Arabidopsis thaliana: one gene and its partner. The protein of the gene in region 1 interacts with the protein of each later gene in a pairwise test. Each region holds a gene or a part of one and is shown on either strand. Other genes may lie near its edges.

Region 1 (8,013 bases):
CATAGGTCAGGCCTGTCTATTACTTTCTGCGGGAACCAAGGGTAAACGGTTTATGATGCCACATGCCAAAGGTATAGACTTCGACTGCATTCTGGCCGCTTCTATGGCTCACCATTGATAATCAGAACCTCTCATACGTTTGATTCATTATGTCACAGCGATGATTCAGCAACCACGTGTACCTTCTTCTGGGTTGATGCCTGCCAGTGATGTCCTGATTCGGGCCAAAGAGGTTTGATGAATCGCTCTACACACTTAATATTCTGGAAATTTAAATTTGATCGAGATTTTCTCTTTCTGCTTTGCTTCTACCTACTTTCCTATATTATATCTCTGATAATTTGGACAGAAATTTCTCACTTAAGCATTTGGTTCAGAATTTCATGACCTAATTAGGTGAAGAATCTGAGTTTGATTACTTCATCTTCCTCATTCCTGTTATGCAATTGCAGGTCATTACAAATAGGGATATACTTGTGGAACTACTATCAAAGCATACTGGGAATGTGAGTGCGAAATATTTTCATAACTTTGTGGAGAAATTTGATAGCTGATTAAAACATTCTTATATGTCATATAGTCCGTGGAGACTGTAGCTAACGTAATGAGAAGGCCATATTACATGGATGCACCAAAAGCTAAAGAATTTGGAGTCATTGACAGGGTAAGTTTGGGCACTGTAATTTTTTGATGTTGCTTTTCATATGCACATACTAAAAGATTAAAGGTTACATATCGTCACCAAGCAAAGTAACCTTTCCAGTCAAGTTTCCCTCTCTTCTACCTTTTCCTGATGTTTGCCTGTGCGTAATGATGAATTTGTTTTCATACTTTTCCAAGTTAAAGCTTTAAAGATGGTCTCATAATCATTGGCAGATTCTTTGGCGCGGTCAAGAAAAGATTATTGCGGACGTGGTTCCTTCAGAGGAATTCGACAAGAATGCAGGGATTAAAAGCGTAGTATGAGTCTAGTCTTAAGTTTTCTTGGCCTAAATCATACTGTAAGTGACACGCGTAACTCTCCATTGCTACTCTAGGCATGAATCCATCTTATTCATGGAAATCTCTGATGAAGAAATACAAATGCATCTAACTTACCTGCAAATCATTAGAACGCACGCTTGTATTTACAATGATTTGTATTTTGCTTGAACTCTACTCATTTGCAGGCGTCATGGAGAAGAACAAATAGACTGACCAAAATCACATTGGCCGCAGACTGCCTTGTTTCAAATCACTTGGTAAATGTGAACATGCGATTAGGAGAATCATACTTAAAGGATCTTGAAATATTATGATAAAATTGTAATGTGTTTGTTCGTTAGCAATAGTAAATACAATCTTCAACTCTCTTCTTCACCCTTCCGATTTGAATATTGAACAGTTTCTTACTTGTTTCCATTTGGCTTCACTTCTTTTTTGGTCAGCTTTTAAGAAAACTACATCATCAATTTGACCAGATTGCTTAGCAATAACTTGATTTTAAAATAGATATAAGATACATTGTGAAAAAAATAAAAAGGATACAAAACCAAAAACGCTCCGATGCCGGGAATCGAACCCGGGTCTCCTGGGTGAAAGCCAGATATCCTAACCGCTGGACGACATCGGATTTGTTGTTGGGTATTGACTGTGATAATATTTAATACAATACATGTGTTATTAAATTAAAGCTGTTTCTTCGCCCAAAAGCCAAACTCTGTTTCCTATTTATGTCTTCTGAGATCTCTCGTAGACTCTTACAGTGATTAACTCAGGCTGCTAAGGGAGATGGCAACGGCGATGGCGGAGGATACGAGCTTCGAGGGAGACCAACTAGCTTCCATGACTACTGATGACATCGGTAGAGCTTCTCGTCTCTTAGCCAACGAGATTCGCATCCTCAAGGTCACCACCCTCTCTCTCTTCTCTCTATATTTTTAATCTGCTGGCTACTTGGAACTAGTATATTTCTTCATTCCAAGCTCACTATTACCTTAATTTGATTAGCGACACTTTGATTAGTTTTGAAGAAGATGGATGATGTCTGAGAGCAACGATAACTCTTGTTTCATATCACACTTTTTATCAGTCAAAGATATCGAAATTCACTCAAAGTACTTGTTTTTATAGTTAGATAATTATAGAATATGATTAGAAGACATTTATATTTACTGGTCTTTTGCTCATTGGATGAAATTCACCAGAATTTTTTGATGTCTTTTTCTCTCAAATACGTTGATTTGTTGTAGGAAGAATCGCAGAGGACAAACCTTGATTTGGAATCAGTGAAGGAGAAAATAAAGGAGAACCAGGAGAAGATTAAGCTTAACAAACAGCTTCCTTACTTAGTTGGCAATATCGTTGAGGTACTTTCACTGACTCTTCTCTTGGGGTGTTTCACATTCCTTATATGGGGCTTTTGGTTTTGGTATGTATAACATTCCTTTTTGTTGAGTGACACAATTGTACTATGCTTTTGATTACTAGTAGTGTTAGCCTGATGAATTCCTTGAATCTTTGCCACAGTAGTTCAGACATTTTACCATCAAATTTTTTTTTGTGTAATGATGGAATTAGGATTTGATCTATTATCCGTGCTTTCTAGATTCTTGAGATGAGTCCAGAGGATGATGCAGAGGAAGATGGAGCGAATATCGATCTGGACTCTCAGAGGAAGGGAAAGTGTGTCGTTCTAAAAACATCAACTCGTCAGGTGAAGTTTTAGACTCTTATATCACCGTTAGAGAGATTTTCAGAACTAGTGGGGAACAAACTCTGACTACTAGTGTAGTGTTTGTATAATGATCTCATGGGTTAATTATACTTTTCAGACCATCTTCCTCCCTGTTGTTGGACTTGTTGATCCAGATACATTGAAGCCTGGGGACTTAGTTGGAGTTAACAAAGATAGTTACTTGATTCTGGATACTTTACCTTCTGAGTATGATTCAAGAGTAAAAGCAATGGAGGTCGACGAAAAACCTACTGAAGACTACAATGATATAGGGGGACTAGAAAAACAGGCTAGTTGATGACTCTCCTGTTTCATGTTTCCTTAGTTTTTAGTATCTCTGGTACAATATTTGATGTTGGTGACTCTCCTGTTTTTGTAATTAAACAGATACAAGAACTTGTTGAAGCCATTGTGTTGCCAATGACTCATAAAGAGCAGTTCGAAAAGTTGGGTATCCGTCCACCAAAAGGTGTACTCTTGTATGGTCCTCCTGGAACCGGAAAGACGTTGATGGCCCGAGCTTGTGCAGCACAGACAAATGCAACTTTCCTCAAACTAGCAGGGCCACAACTTGTTCAGGTATGAAAACTAGAGTAAACGTAACTGATTTTGATCTTGTTCCTGTGATATTTTTTGAACCAAACGGAAAGTAACTTTTTTTAGACTTATGTATAGATGTTCATCGGAGATGGAGCAAAACTTGTCCGTGATGCTTTCCTGCTTGCAAAAGAGAAATCCCCTTGTATTATATTCATAGATGAGATTGACGCAATAGGGACAAAGCGTTTTGATAGGTACTCTATCTAGAGTCATGTCATAACTATTTTATTTTCTTTCTGATGACTAATGCTGACTTTTAATTGGCTTACAGCGAAGTTAGTGGAGACCGTGAGGTACAAAGGACAATGTTGGAGCTGCTCAACCAGCTTGATGGATTCAGCAGCGATGATCGCATTAAGGTTGTTACCCCTCATATTACCCCTGCAAATGTCTATTTATTTAGTGAAAGGCATGAAAAACTCATAATTTTACAAACTTAGGTTATTGCAGCGACAAATCGTGCTGATATACTAGATCCTGCCCTTATGCGTTCTGGTCGTTTGGATCGTAAAATCGAGTTTCCGCACCCCACTGAAGAAGCTAGAGGCAGGATCTTACAGGTTCTGTATCCTTTACTGCATCTTTTCTTTTTTCTTTCTTTATTTCTATGTCGTTTTAAAGCTAAAATTAGAGAGCTTCATGCACTTAGACAAGTCTTGCTGTGATTTTCTATGTATTCCGCGGATAACTTATCTTGGGTACTGTTTTGTTTTTGCATAATGTTGGCGATGGGGTTACAGATACATTCAAGGAAAATGAATGTGAATGCAGACGTCAATTTTGAAGAGCTTGCTCGGTCAACGGATGATTTCAATGGAGCTCAACTCAAAGCAGTGTGTGTTGAAGCGGGTATGCTTGCCCTGCGCCGGGATGCAACTGAGGTATGCATATATCTTTCGTCTTAGTGGTTGTAACTTTAGGATGTGGATGATATGGAGGAAATGGTAAATGTGTGTGCAGGTGAACCATGAGGATTTCAATGAAGGTATAATTCAAGTACAAGCCAAGAAGAAAGCAAGCTTGAATTACTACGCCTAAGTCCTCTTTTATGTACACTCTTCTTTCTCCTCTTTACATTATAGAAAACTTCAAGTTGTAGTCTCAACTTTTGAATCTAGAACCCCTTCAAAGTGTGGTTATAATTATAATAGATATCAGCTTGACATATTTTGCTTATTATTTTCTAATGATGGTCTGATGGATGAATAGAATCGAAACTAGAAATTTTCCTTGTGGAACTCAAACTTGGTCGTAGTTTTCCTAGAGAAATCTTGAGCCAGTCTCTTTAACTCTCCTATGATGCATGTATTACCACAGTAGAAAACCCCTACCAACAAAATAGAAAAAGGAAAATCAGTTACTTACTAGAAAGATTCTACAATAGCTATGGAATTGTTGTAATAGCTAGTGACATACCAACTCGTTGATTGACGTGGTTGACTGCGACGTGCTTGAAGACACTACGCCAATTGGGTCGAGCGAAATGGGTTCGGACCCGAGTGCCCGATACGATGTCAATGCCGCTCTTGGCGTGGTGCAATGACTGCAACATGGTGATTAGTGCTGACCTCGCATCTCCTTCCTCATACACGCTAGTGCAGTAATTATGTAGTTCAATCATCCCCTCACTATCATACTCAGCTACCTCGTTCATGACCTCACTGAACCATTCCAATGATCCTTGCTCTCTTGTTACCCAATAAAAATAAGCTCGTTTTGTGGCAACATAGTTTTTTATGTGTTGGTTAGTGCCTCGTTCGATGGAATTCTGGTTCTTGATGTTGTTAAGGACGTCCCTGATTATGCTGATTAATGGCGTCGCTCCGATCCCTAGACCTACTAGAAGCAATACATCGTAGTTCCGGTAATCTTGTGCGGGTGCACCATATGGACCATCGATTAACAGCCTCGGAAACCTTTCCATGTAAAATTCATTAGAAAAATTGCTCATGTTTTTAAATCATGATTACTCAAATTATAAATCAAAAACTGTACCTGGTTATATTGTTGGCTTGACCTATGTCAGCTATGAAGAGCCCACTTTGACTTGTTGAGGGAAGTTGACAAACCTATGGTTTTGTAATTAAACAAATCAAGTACATATATCATTAATTCACAAATGTTACTCTTGAAAAATAGTAACCTTGGAATATAAGGATTTGAGTTGCGATGTCCAGTCTCCGAGTGTGCGGATATGAACGCTGAGGTAATCATCCCCGGAAGCCGAAGTAATTGAAAACGGATGCCTACACAAAATTGAAAATAGGTTAATAATAAAGTTAAAATCTTATGCTTGTACAAGTTCAGTGGCATTGTATTGTTGATATACCATTGTAATGGTGAGACGTCAGAACAGTTAATATATATGTACTGTCCACTTGTGTACTTGAAACCTTTAGGCTTCGACATGTAAAGTGAAAGTACATTTCCTGGATATACTGCCACCTGAAAATCAGTTTGATGTCAATAGAAATTAAAAAAGTGAAATATATCCTTGATTTTTGTCTATAATAACAAGAATGCATGTATATTATTGTGAACAGATCATAGAAATACCTTCAAAACCTTGACAGCCTTGGCACCTGGTCTAAATGCACGAATCAATCGTTCAAATGCATATAGTAGTACGGGAACTGCCAGATACATCCACGTCTGTCCAAAGGTAATAATAACAAAGGATGCTTTCATCAACAAAAATTATCATATGATCTTTTCGTCTGATTTTCTGAACACTCCGTGATTAATCAAGACGCAAGAAAAAATATATGTATACGTACCGTCTTGTGGTACCATTCCTTTGAGAGATAAACAAAATAGCCATGCACGATGAGAAGAACATAAACGATGACAAACAAATGGTGTGAGTACCAAAATGCGTTGAAACCAGTCAATCGTTTCAACGATTTTGGTAGGTTTGCCCGGTTTCGTCTGAACCACGACTGCGCCAAGACGTAGGCCACTAACATAAGAACCACCATGGTAACACCGGTCCACCCGTCTGTCCCTTTCATGAACCATCCATAATTTTCAGGCCTCTCGTCTCCGAAAAACTTTTTCATTGGCTCAAACTCTACATTTTTTGCATGCAGCAAACGCGGGAAATCACATGCCAGGTGAGATATAGCGTGCAAGCCTATTCCAACCGCGATCCCAAATGCAACAACCTGCATGGACATAAAGATTAAGCATAACCAAATTATATTGTTACAAAAGTCGTATATCTTTTTGTATTCTTCTACAACAACAAAAAAAACATGGATTATTGGACAATGAAAATTATATAATGTGTATAGATATGATATATATTAATATACATAATTTACCTTGTGGAAATTGATATTGTCATCAAATGGAACAACAGACCCAATAAGCTTGGACTTGGTCCTTAGCCAAGTGATAGTGTTCCTACAAACGGGCAAGAGAATGAGAGCCATGTTGAATTTCAAGGTCTCTGCACTGCCTTTGGCCACGGTAACACAGTAGCCCATCACCTCGAACACGGTTTTGCGTTTATACTGGAGAAATTTCCAAGTGAAGAGAGTGATGCAAATGGATATCCACAATGTTAACACCCAAATCCTTTTCCAATTTTCCAAGAAGAAGTATGATATATTCATAGCAAATCTTTTCACCGGGTTTCGATCTTTTGTTGGTATGAGCTTCTGGCTCAACATCTTGTTGAGTGCACGTTTGTTCGCGGAAGATGGACTGTTATTTGATTGGCTAGGAACTTGGAGAAGCAATGTTTCCAAGTTATGTAACTGCAAGTAAACCATTGCTCAACTATATTTTCAAACACATTGAAATATATAACAAATACATTTACAACTGATTTTAAGGATTTAACCATGTTTTTAATAGTGATGTTAAACAAGTGTAACCATTAGATAGTAGACAACGAACCTCAATATATCCGAGGTTGTCGCGATCTAGTTCTTCCATGATCAAGGCAGCATATTCATCTACATTTTCTTTAATCTTTGATAGCTTGTTAGCCGAAGCACTTAAAGCAATTATCTATAATTCAGCCGAAACAACTTAGATTGTAACATTTTTATATTAGGACCATAACGAAATTGAGATCAATTTAATAAGGTATACCTCACCTCCTTAACCTCATCTCCTGTAATACGTCCGTCCAAATTTTTGTCCACCCTTATATACATAAACACAAAGAGATAACTAATCAACTTACCATATTTTATGACAAATGATAATCATGCATTATACTTGTCAAAATACTATAAATAAATATAAAATCATGCTTACATATCAAAAAAGATTTGCAGCCTATCATCAAAACTATTGCCTGTGATCTGCTCCCAGAATTCAAACAATTCAGTTTTGGTGATTGACGATGACGTAGTCCCTCTCCTTCGGACCAACGCCTCAAAAAGCTCGTTCACAAATTCGCTAGATTCAACCATTCCTATTTAGTTGAAATAATTCTTTTAAAATTCAGTTAAAAAAAAAGTAATAAAAAAACAAAACTGTATATGAGAAACAAGTTGAGTATTGCAGTGAAATTACAGAGAGAAAAAAATGAAACCAAAAAAGGTATATTATTTAAAGTTTTTTTGTTTACCTATGCAATGTCCAAATTTGGATTTAGGGAGTTTCCCTTCAACGGCCAACTTATCAAACCTCATTGCAACCTCATCCCAGCCTCTACCAACGGCGTCGTTTTTGGCAATGAA
Region 2 (8,503 bases), on another chromosome or scaffold:
GAAAGCAAATGCCTAAAGGTGCGTCTTTTGGAGAATTTCTTATTTTTCAAAGATGAATCAGCAATGAGTTTAAAGCCATAAAGTTTGACTCGTTAATGCAATCATATGAATAAAAAAGCCATTTATCAATGTGGAGCGATGATTCAGTAAAATGTCCGGTCCTAGCTGGTAATGGATTTCGTCTCATTTTTGCAACAATTTTTTTTATAACAAATTAAAGCTTTTAGTTTTCCTCTTTATTTATTTGATCCTTTTGACAGTGCTTTAGTGGGATTAGTACGTGGCGCCTCTTCGATCTTCAGAAGCAAACATGTAAACCAGATTTCATTTTTTTTTGCTCTAGTTTATGATATTTTTCCTAGTTCGAAAATATTATATGCATGTGTGTATATAACTATATATTGATAGTCTGTGAGGTGAAGGATTGAGCAAGTTAAAACTTATATAATGCAATGCTCTTTCGAATTCAGCATTCGTCAGTCTTATTTGACGCGAAGTCGAATCTATTTTGGAACACTAGTCAGATGTACATTATTGAGGACCCATATGAGAACTACACGGATTAAAAAAAAAAAAAAAAGTCTTGCATTAACTTTGAATTTTGGTGAATCATCACATCATATAAAATTATAAATACACTATCACCGGTTCTTTTTACCCGTTTCCATGTTAAACATGGGGTTCATAATATTCATATATGTACACTATTGTCTTGTAAATTTTTGGTATGGTACTTGATCGTGTTTCATGCATTTATAATCAGTCGCATATCATGTACAATAGTCTCCGCTGTTTGGGAACAAAAAATATCTAGTTGTCTAGTTTATGGACGAATTACAAGCAACGTAAAAATGATCGTAAAGTCAAACTAGATGTTGTTTACTTGTTTTGTTCTTATACACACAAACAATTAAATATGCTTTTTTTTGGGAAAAAAACGCTTTGTTTACGCTTGTGATTAGGTGCATCTGGTATAACAAAAGCCTTCGATAGTCTACGGTCATTTTTTGTGTGCATAAATGTAATAGAATATATATATAAAATCGTTGTGATGACAACAAAACAGTGTCATAATCGATTAAAGTAAACTGTCATTTACGATTCTAGAGATCGTAAAATTATCAACGATAGCAATGCCAATAATGTTATGTAACCATATATACTGGAGTATTTGTTTTGAGTAATATTAAAGATAATTATGTTCAGCGGAAAAAAACTAATGTAATTAACTAAAATCAGATAATTGTTAATGATGAAAATAAGATCTGGATAAGATTTTGAGGGGTCGACATCATTAGTCTCCTCTAATTGTTGTTCGAAAATTAATGCTCAACTTTTAATGTATGTACTAATTGATTATAAACATTATATTAGTGTTTGAAATCACCTTAAATCGATAGATAGAAAAATCATTAAAGTTTTTTCACGTCTAGCATTTATCAACAACACACATCTGCAACATTTTAGCCGCTCCACAATGTAGTCCGTTCCGGTTTTTATACATGGTTCCGGTTTCATCCAAATTTTTACAGTTATTAATAGTTTATGAATACTTGAACAAAATTAAACTATAGTAAAAAAAAAAAAAAGTTTCTCTAAGATTTTGCTATTGTTCGATTAACTTTTCCACTCTGATTCTTTGGATTGGGTTCTTAACAGAAAAACAAATACGTGATGGTAATCCTCTCTCAGTTTTTACCATCGGAAAATGAATTTTTATGATGTCGTCAAATATCGAACATGCGGTAATAATCAGAGACATGCATTGCTATTAGTATTTCGTTTCCCCACCTATATTTTGGTCAAAAGCAAACGTGTGGGGGTATACATACCTTTTCTTTCATGTAATGATACATGCTTTTTATTTGTATATAAATATAATTATATTATATGATATCTAGAGTATCTAAATTTATTCAGTGATCTTCTTAATCAAAGGTTAATCATATCAAAACAACATTAGTGAACTGGATTGGGACCACTAATGAGTTGAAATAAGTTACCAGCTATTTCTTCTAATATCTGATAAATACTACTATTAGTCATAAGAACAACAATTAGAATTAATAATATTCGTAACCATAATTGAGAGTTGACTTGTAAAGAAAAAAAAAAGTTATCTGATGTACTCAGGAACTATTGCAAAAATACTATAAGAGCACAATTTAAAGATTGATTAGATTTTTTAAAAATGAGATAATGGAGAATCTAATGATGCAGAAATTGTTGTTCCCACACGGACATACAATATGATAGTGTATTACTTTTTTGATTATAATCCGTTGGAAGAAGATTTTATCAAAACATCAAAAATTTAAGACTTGTAAGACCTCTAAGAAAATAATTTAATATCATTGTTCAACATGTATATAGTGTAAGTACTAAGTACACCCTGTAACCCTATTAGTAATCTTGACTACCTTTTTTTAATAGCAAATTTGGTTGTAAATTTGCTATATTAATAATGGGCTTGGTATAGATTTTATTTTAGAAGGTCCATTACTTTCAATTGGAGTAAATGAACCGACTTTAAAGACTTTTAACTCAGGCCTTAATGTTACACAATAGAATAACATTATGACCCGGCCCAAATAAGTCGTCAGATCCAGTAAGCGTGCGACCAAACTATTTGTTTCTTACCATCGATATAAACTTTAATGATTTTATACAAATTGAATAACATATTTATACAAATTGAATAATGATATGGATAATCCCTTTTATCTAAACAAAAAGAAGTGGATAATCCACATCATATTTGTCTGTAAATTATTTGTTTTAGTTATCTACTGATAAAAACATTGTTTATCTATATTATTTTATATTATGTAGAGCCATTATCTCTTACGATTGAGCATTTTTAATCTTCTGACAGAAAAAATGCTAAGAATTAAAAGGACAAAGAAAAAAGAATGTGCAATTATCATGTGGTTGATTAGAGGTTTGAGAATGATTGGTGCTACCAGAAACTTAGGTGGAGAAAAGGATAAAAACCGAAATTAGACAAAAGGTTAATTTCGTCATTTCAACAGATTCTATTACCACTTCTTGTTTTGTTTTTCCATACTTTACGGACAAGAACGAGAGAAGCTCTCGCTTACGTGGTTTCTACACTGTTTTTGACGAACCCACCAAGCTCGAGTAGATCGGTATTAGATCCATCTTAGGTTTCTCTAATTTCTCTCAATTCACTCCAAAATTTTGATTATTTCTTCTTTCTGGCTTGTCAATTTTAGTCATTTGTAATCCTTGCTTTTGCGATCGGAATCGTAAAAATCCGATCTTTCTTTTAGATTCGTTTTGTTTTTGATTCCAAATCGGAAAAATGGGTAAAGTAGCTGTTGGAGCGACTGTTGTTTGCACGGCGGCGGTTTGTGCGGTGGCTGTTTTGGTTGTTCGACGACGGATGCAGAGCTCAGGGAAGTGGGGACGTGTTTTGGCTATCCTCAAGGCCTTTGAAGAGGATTGTGCGACTCCGATCTCGAAACTGAGACAAGTGGCTGATGCTATGACCGTTGAGATGCATGCTGGTCTTGCATCCGACGGTGGTAGCAAACTCAAGATGCTTATCAGCTACGTTGATAATCTTCCTTCCGGGTAATGTTTTCTAATTGGATTCAAATTCTGTTGCTTTTCATTGAAATTTTCAATCTTTGTCATATTAGAAGATAGAATATTTCTATCTCCTAATATGTCATCCATTCAATGTTGTTGATTGTGTAATATGGATTACGTTATGAAATGAGTTTCGTCCTGATTTGGAGATGTAATTGCATTGTCTCTTAATGGTCAAAATTGATCGATTAGATAGGATTATTGATCTACTGTTTCAGAATCAGTGAATCTTTTGGAATCCAGATCATGTCCCACTGAATCATTGTCTCATTTTCTTATAGGTTTTGTTGTATCACTTCTTGATTTTGTAGATTTGTTTTCATGGATTTGAGAGTTATTGCCCTTTTGATTAAGGTTTAATACATAGTTACATTAAGGCAGACAATGACAGTGATGTGAATATGATTTGTCTGAAAAGTCTGTCCACAGACATCACTTTTGTCTTATGGACTTCGTGATTAGATGGCATGATGGCATTGATTATGTTATATTACGTAGAACATTTTGGTGCGGTTTCATTTTCGCTTTAATATTGTTAGCCAATGCGGCAATGCGTCTAGTTTCATGTTGTAGGTCTGTCTTACATTTACTACCATTAATATAACAGGGATGAAAAGGGTCTCTTTTATGCATTGGACCTAGGGGGGACAAACTTCCGTGTCATGCGTGTGCTTCTTGGCGGGAAGCAAGAGCGTGTTGTTAAACAAGAATTCGAAGAAGTTTCGATTCCTCCTCATTTGATGACTGGTGGTTCAGATGTCAGTTTTCTGTTCTTCAATTTGTCATGTTTAGTCTTAGATGATCTTTGTGTAACAAGATTCTTTTGCGTTCTTTTGATGGATTCAGGAGTTGTTCAATTTTATAGCTGAAGCTCTTGCGAAGTTTGTCGCTACAGAATGCGAAGACTTTCATCTTCCAGAAGGTAGACAGAGGGAATTAGGTTTCACTTTCTCGTTTCCTGTTAAGCAGACTTCTCTGTCCTCTGGTAGTCTCATCAAATGGACAAAAGGCTTTTCCATCGAAGAAGCAGTTAAGCTCGATTTTCGTTCAACTATTTCACTTAAAATGTTTAGTTTTCGCCTTTGCCTTAATCTTTGTTTAACCTGTTGCATAGGTTGGACAAGATGTTGTTGGAGCACTTAATAAGGCTCTGGAAAGAGTTGGTCTTGACATGCGAATCGCAGCACTTGTGAGTTCTCTTTCGCCTTATGCTCTCTAGTGAATCCCTTTTGTCATGTGTTTGTTGATTTGTTTTTGACGTTTTACAGGTTAATGATACCGTTGGAACACTAGCCGGTGGTAGATACTATAACCCGGATGTTGTTGCTGCTGTTATTTTAGGCACTGGGACAAACGCAGCCTATGTTGAGCGTGCAACCGCGATCCCTAAATGGCATGGTCTGCTTCCAAAATCAGGAGAAATGGTTATAAACATGGAATGGGGAAACTTCAGGTCATCACATCTTCCATTAACCGAGTTTGATCACACGCTGGATTTCGAGAGTCTGAATCCAGGCGAACAGGTACGAGTTTTTAAACCCCGGTTTGTTGTTACAAAATGCCAATACCTACGAGGTGTCTCGAGAATGAGTTTCTATGTGGAATTTCATTTTGCAGATTCTTGAGAAAATCATTTCCGGTATGTACTTGGGAGAGATTTTGCGAAGAGTTCTTCTAAAGATGGCTGAAGATGCTGCTTTCTTTGGCGATACAGTCCCATCTAAGCTGAGAATACCATTCATCATTAGGTACTCTTTACTAAGTTTCATCCTTTGAGGAAGGGCTTTAGTCTAAAGTTCAACAATCATTTGCAGGACTCCTCACATGTCGGCTATGCACAACGACACTTCTCCAGACTTGAAGATTGTTGGGAGCAAGATTAAGGATATATTGGAGGTCCCTACAACTTCTCTGAAAATGAGAAAAGTTGTGATCAGTCTCTGCAACATCATAGCAACCCGAGGAGCTCGTCTCTCTGCTGCTGGAATCTATGGTATTCTGAAGAAACTGGGAAGAGATACTACTAAAGACGAGGAGGTGCAGAAATCGGTTATAGCCATGGATGGTGGATTGTTTGAGCATTACACTCAGTTTAGTGAGTGTATGGAGAGCTCACTAAAAGAGTTGCTTGGAGATGAAGCTTCAGGAAGCGTTGAAGTCACTCACTCCAATGATGGATCAGGCATTGGAGCTGCGCTTCTTGCTGCTTCTCACTCTCTCTACCTTGAAGACTCTTAAAACCTACCCAAAGAGCGCCATTTTTCGGTAATTTACTGAAAGCTTTTCGCTATCAGAAAACGCCTAAGCCAAGTTCTAAGGCGTCATAAAAGAAAGCATTCCATGTTTTTACTCTTCCCCAAGACTTTCTTTGTAGCAAATAAGTTTCCTTGGGAGAAATATTTGTTTTCATGTTCTTCAAAAATAAAAGACTCAGTTCTTCAGATTCTGGGATTTTATTATAACCAGATATGTTGTAAAAACTACAAATTCAAAGCTCACTTCACTGGAGTTCTGAGTATATAAAGATTTCATTTTTCCTCATCATTGAGTACACATAAAACTACTGTGTATGAATCTCATATGCGTACACAAAAGTTTACTTCAAATCATGTTTTACCAACAAATGGGTACACAAAAGATCAAATCTTTACTTCATAACAACATAAAATCTCCAACAGATGCATTATCAGAAAGTGGAACAGAACCTAAATCAAGAGTCAGATGATTGAACAGAGACATTGTTGAGACGTTCAAGAGCCAAGAGAAGAGCTTGAGTACCAAGATCACCTTCACCATGAGCCTTAAGAGACAAGTAAAGCTGTTGAGCAAGAGCTAAACCAGGCAAAGCCAAACCCATCCTCTGACATTCATTCAAACAAATCCCTAAATCTTTCACAAAATGATTCACATAAAAACCAGGATCAAAATCCCTCTTCAGAATCCTATCTCCATACAAATCTATAGACTTAGAACCAGCAGCACCAGTAGAAATCGCTTCAAGAAACTTCTTAACATCAAGTCCAGCTTTATGAGCATAAATCAAACCTTCCACAAGTCCTAACATAGTCGAAGCAATAGTTATCTGATTAGCCAATTTCGCAAATTGACCTTTCCCACTTGTTCCCATGAAGTTGACTTTACCCATTAACGAAAACAACGGATCTAAACGTTTCACGGTGGTTTCATCACCTCCGGCGAATATAGATAGCTTCCCATTCTTAGCTCCTAAATCTCCACCTGAGACAGGAGCGTCTATTGAGAAACAATTCTTAAAGGAAGCAGCTTTAGCTATCTCCTCTGCTAAAGAAGGCTCAGAAGTAGTCATATCAACGAGAACACCTCCTTGACGGAGACCAGATAAAGCTCCGGACTTTGGATCGAGAAGGACGTGACGGACATCGGAAGGATAACCAACGATGGTGAAAACGACGTCGGATTGTTCAGCGACTGAGTTTGGTGAGTCGGCGACGTTAGCACCCATGTCGATGAGAGTTTGAGCTTTGGAGATGGTTCGATTGAAGACGGTGACTGTGTAACCGGCTTTGATTAAGTGTCCACACATTGATCGGCCCATGACTCCGGTTCCGATCCATCCGATTTTGGTGTTTGATGGAGTGATTATATCCGAGGAGATTGTTGAGGAAGCCATTGAGCGACGGAGGAAGAAGGAGGAGACGACGGAGGGAGAGGGAAATCGACGGAGGAGAAGTGGCATTGTTTCCTGTGGTGATTGATGGATTCTAGTAGTTATCGAAAGTTGAGTGGTATACCATCGTAATTTTGAGTTTCTTCGGAGGTGTTTTTCGTCAAAGTACTTTAACGACGTCGGGTTTGTAATCCTGGTTTAGAAAATTGATTTGGTTCGGTTAAACTTGGTTTATTAGGCTCAAGCGTGCTAGTGGTGAAGAAGATAGATAATCAATGGGCATTTAACAAGGCAAGCATGAGAAAATAAATGATAGATGTTTTATAACCTTTCATGTTTTGAGAAAATTTAGAAGAAAAAGAAAGACATGGTTTGGGTTTGGGATTTGATCCAGAATTTGGTTTGGGATTTGATCCAGTATTTGGTTTGGGTTTGGGATTTGATCCAGTATTTGGTTTGGGAATGGATTATATCACGTATATGGATCATCGTAGTTGTTCTCTCTGTCTCCATTGTCTTGAGATATTTGTGGGTTCTCGAGAATTGTCCTAAAACACAACCTCAACATTGTAAGAATATTTCTCTATCATCTTTTTCATGATCTATGCTTTAAGATACTTTTCTCTATTTTATAATGCTTGTTGTTGTTGTTGCATGTTGTATACTTATATGTATACCATCCAAAGCAGTGGAACAACCCCAAGAATCAACTTGCACTGAAGTGGTCGTTGGTGATTCAGTGGAGAAGCTCACACGAAGAATTATAGAAATAGAAGAGCAGCCTGGAAATGAGCGATTGGCGGTAAAGACTGTGGTTGAGAAGGTAAAGCCGAGTGTTGTGAAGGTGAAGCCCAGAAACTTTTGGTGTTTGTGTTAACTACGAGAGCATGACTTGACTAGTATGTCAAATAAACATTGGACTAACAAAATACTCGAATGATCACCAAAATAATTTTAGACTACTACAGTATATATAAAAAATGACTACGTCTTTGGATGTACGAGTAAAGACGTTGTGCGTGTTTAAATACTTGAGGAAGACGTATTGTTGAATAATGTCGTAATAATTATCTGTGCCTGCAATTCTCCATATATATGATCGGAATTAAATTGCACGAAACGTTATGGTTGGTCGATGAACAACTTGAGAGAATGAGAGCGATATTTTATCTTATTCATTTCTCTACTTTTTGATTTGATAAATTCATCATCAATAAATTCACCTAGTGTATATAGTATTCT

The links. Proteins that work in one complex are often made in the same cells at the same time.
Region 2: the proteins of RPT5B (region 1) and HXK1 interact in a two-hybrid assay, tested with the Arabidopsis thaliana proteins (one study listed by BioGRID).

The regions. Positions count from the first base shown.
Region 1 is NC_003070.9:2,933,016-2,941,028, reverse strand, and holds RPT5B (26S proteasome AAA-ATPase subunit RPT5B), read left to right. Parts: upstream 1-1,665; 5' UTR 1,666-1,770; coding exon 1,771-1,887; intron 1,888-2,231; coding exon 2,232-2,348; intron 2,349-2,587; coding exon 2,588-2,695; intron 2,696-2,813; coding exon 2,814-3,005; intron 3,006-3,103; coding exon 3,104-3,295; intron 3,296-3,391; coding exon 3,392-3,510; intron 3,511-3,587; coding exon 3,588-3,675; intron 3,676-3,756; coding exon 3,757-3,876; intron 3,877-4,056; coding exon 4,057-4,197; intron 4,198-4,276; coding exon 4,277-4,354; 3' UTR 4,355-4,501; downstream 4,502-8,013. Other genes in the region: AT1G09130 (ATP-dependent caseinolytic (Clp) protease/crotonase family protein), read left to right, coding at 1-71, 159-232, 453-506, 581-664, 877-957, 1,170-1,298; RBOHB (respiratory burst oxidase-like protein), read right to left, coding at 4,534-4,643, 4,733-5,232, 5,312-5,385, 5,460-5,562, 5,646-5,761, 5,873-5,968, 6,094-6,480, 6,640-7,077 and 4 more. UniProt on the Arabidopsis thaliana protein: The 26S proteasome is involved in the ATP-dependent degradation of ubiquitinated proteins. The regulatory (or ATPase) complex confers ATP dependency and substrate specificity to the 26S complex.
Region 2 is NC_003075.7:14,349,688-14,358,190, reverse strand, and holds HXK1 (hexokinase 1), read left to right. Parts: upstream 1-2,989; 5' UTR 2,990-3,325; coding exon 3,326-3,597; intron 3,598-4,222; coding exon 4,223-4,373; intron 4,374-4,461; coding exon 4,462-4,644; intron 4,645-4,729; coding exon 4,730-4,804; intron 4,805-4,883; coding exon 4,884-5,138; intron 5,139-5,232; coding exon 5,233-5,363; intron 5,364-5,429; coding exon 5,430-5,853; 3' UTR 5,854-6,154; downstream 6,155-8,503. Other genes in the region: AT4G29120 (6-phosphogluconate dehydrogenase family protein), read right to left, coding at 6,326-7,330. UniProt on the Arabidopsis thaliana protein: Fructose and glucose phosphorylating enzyme. May be involved in the phosphorylation of glucose during the export from mitochondrion to cytosol. Acts as a sugar sensor which may regulate sugar-dependent gene repression or activation.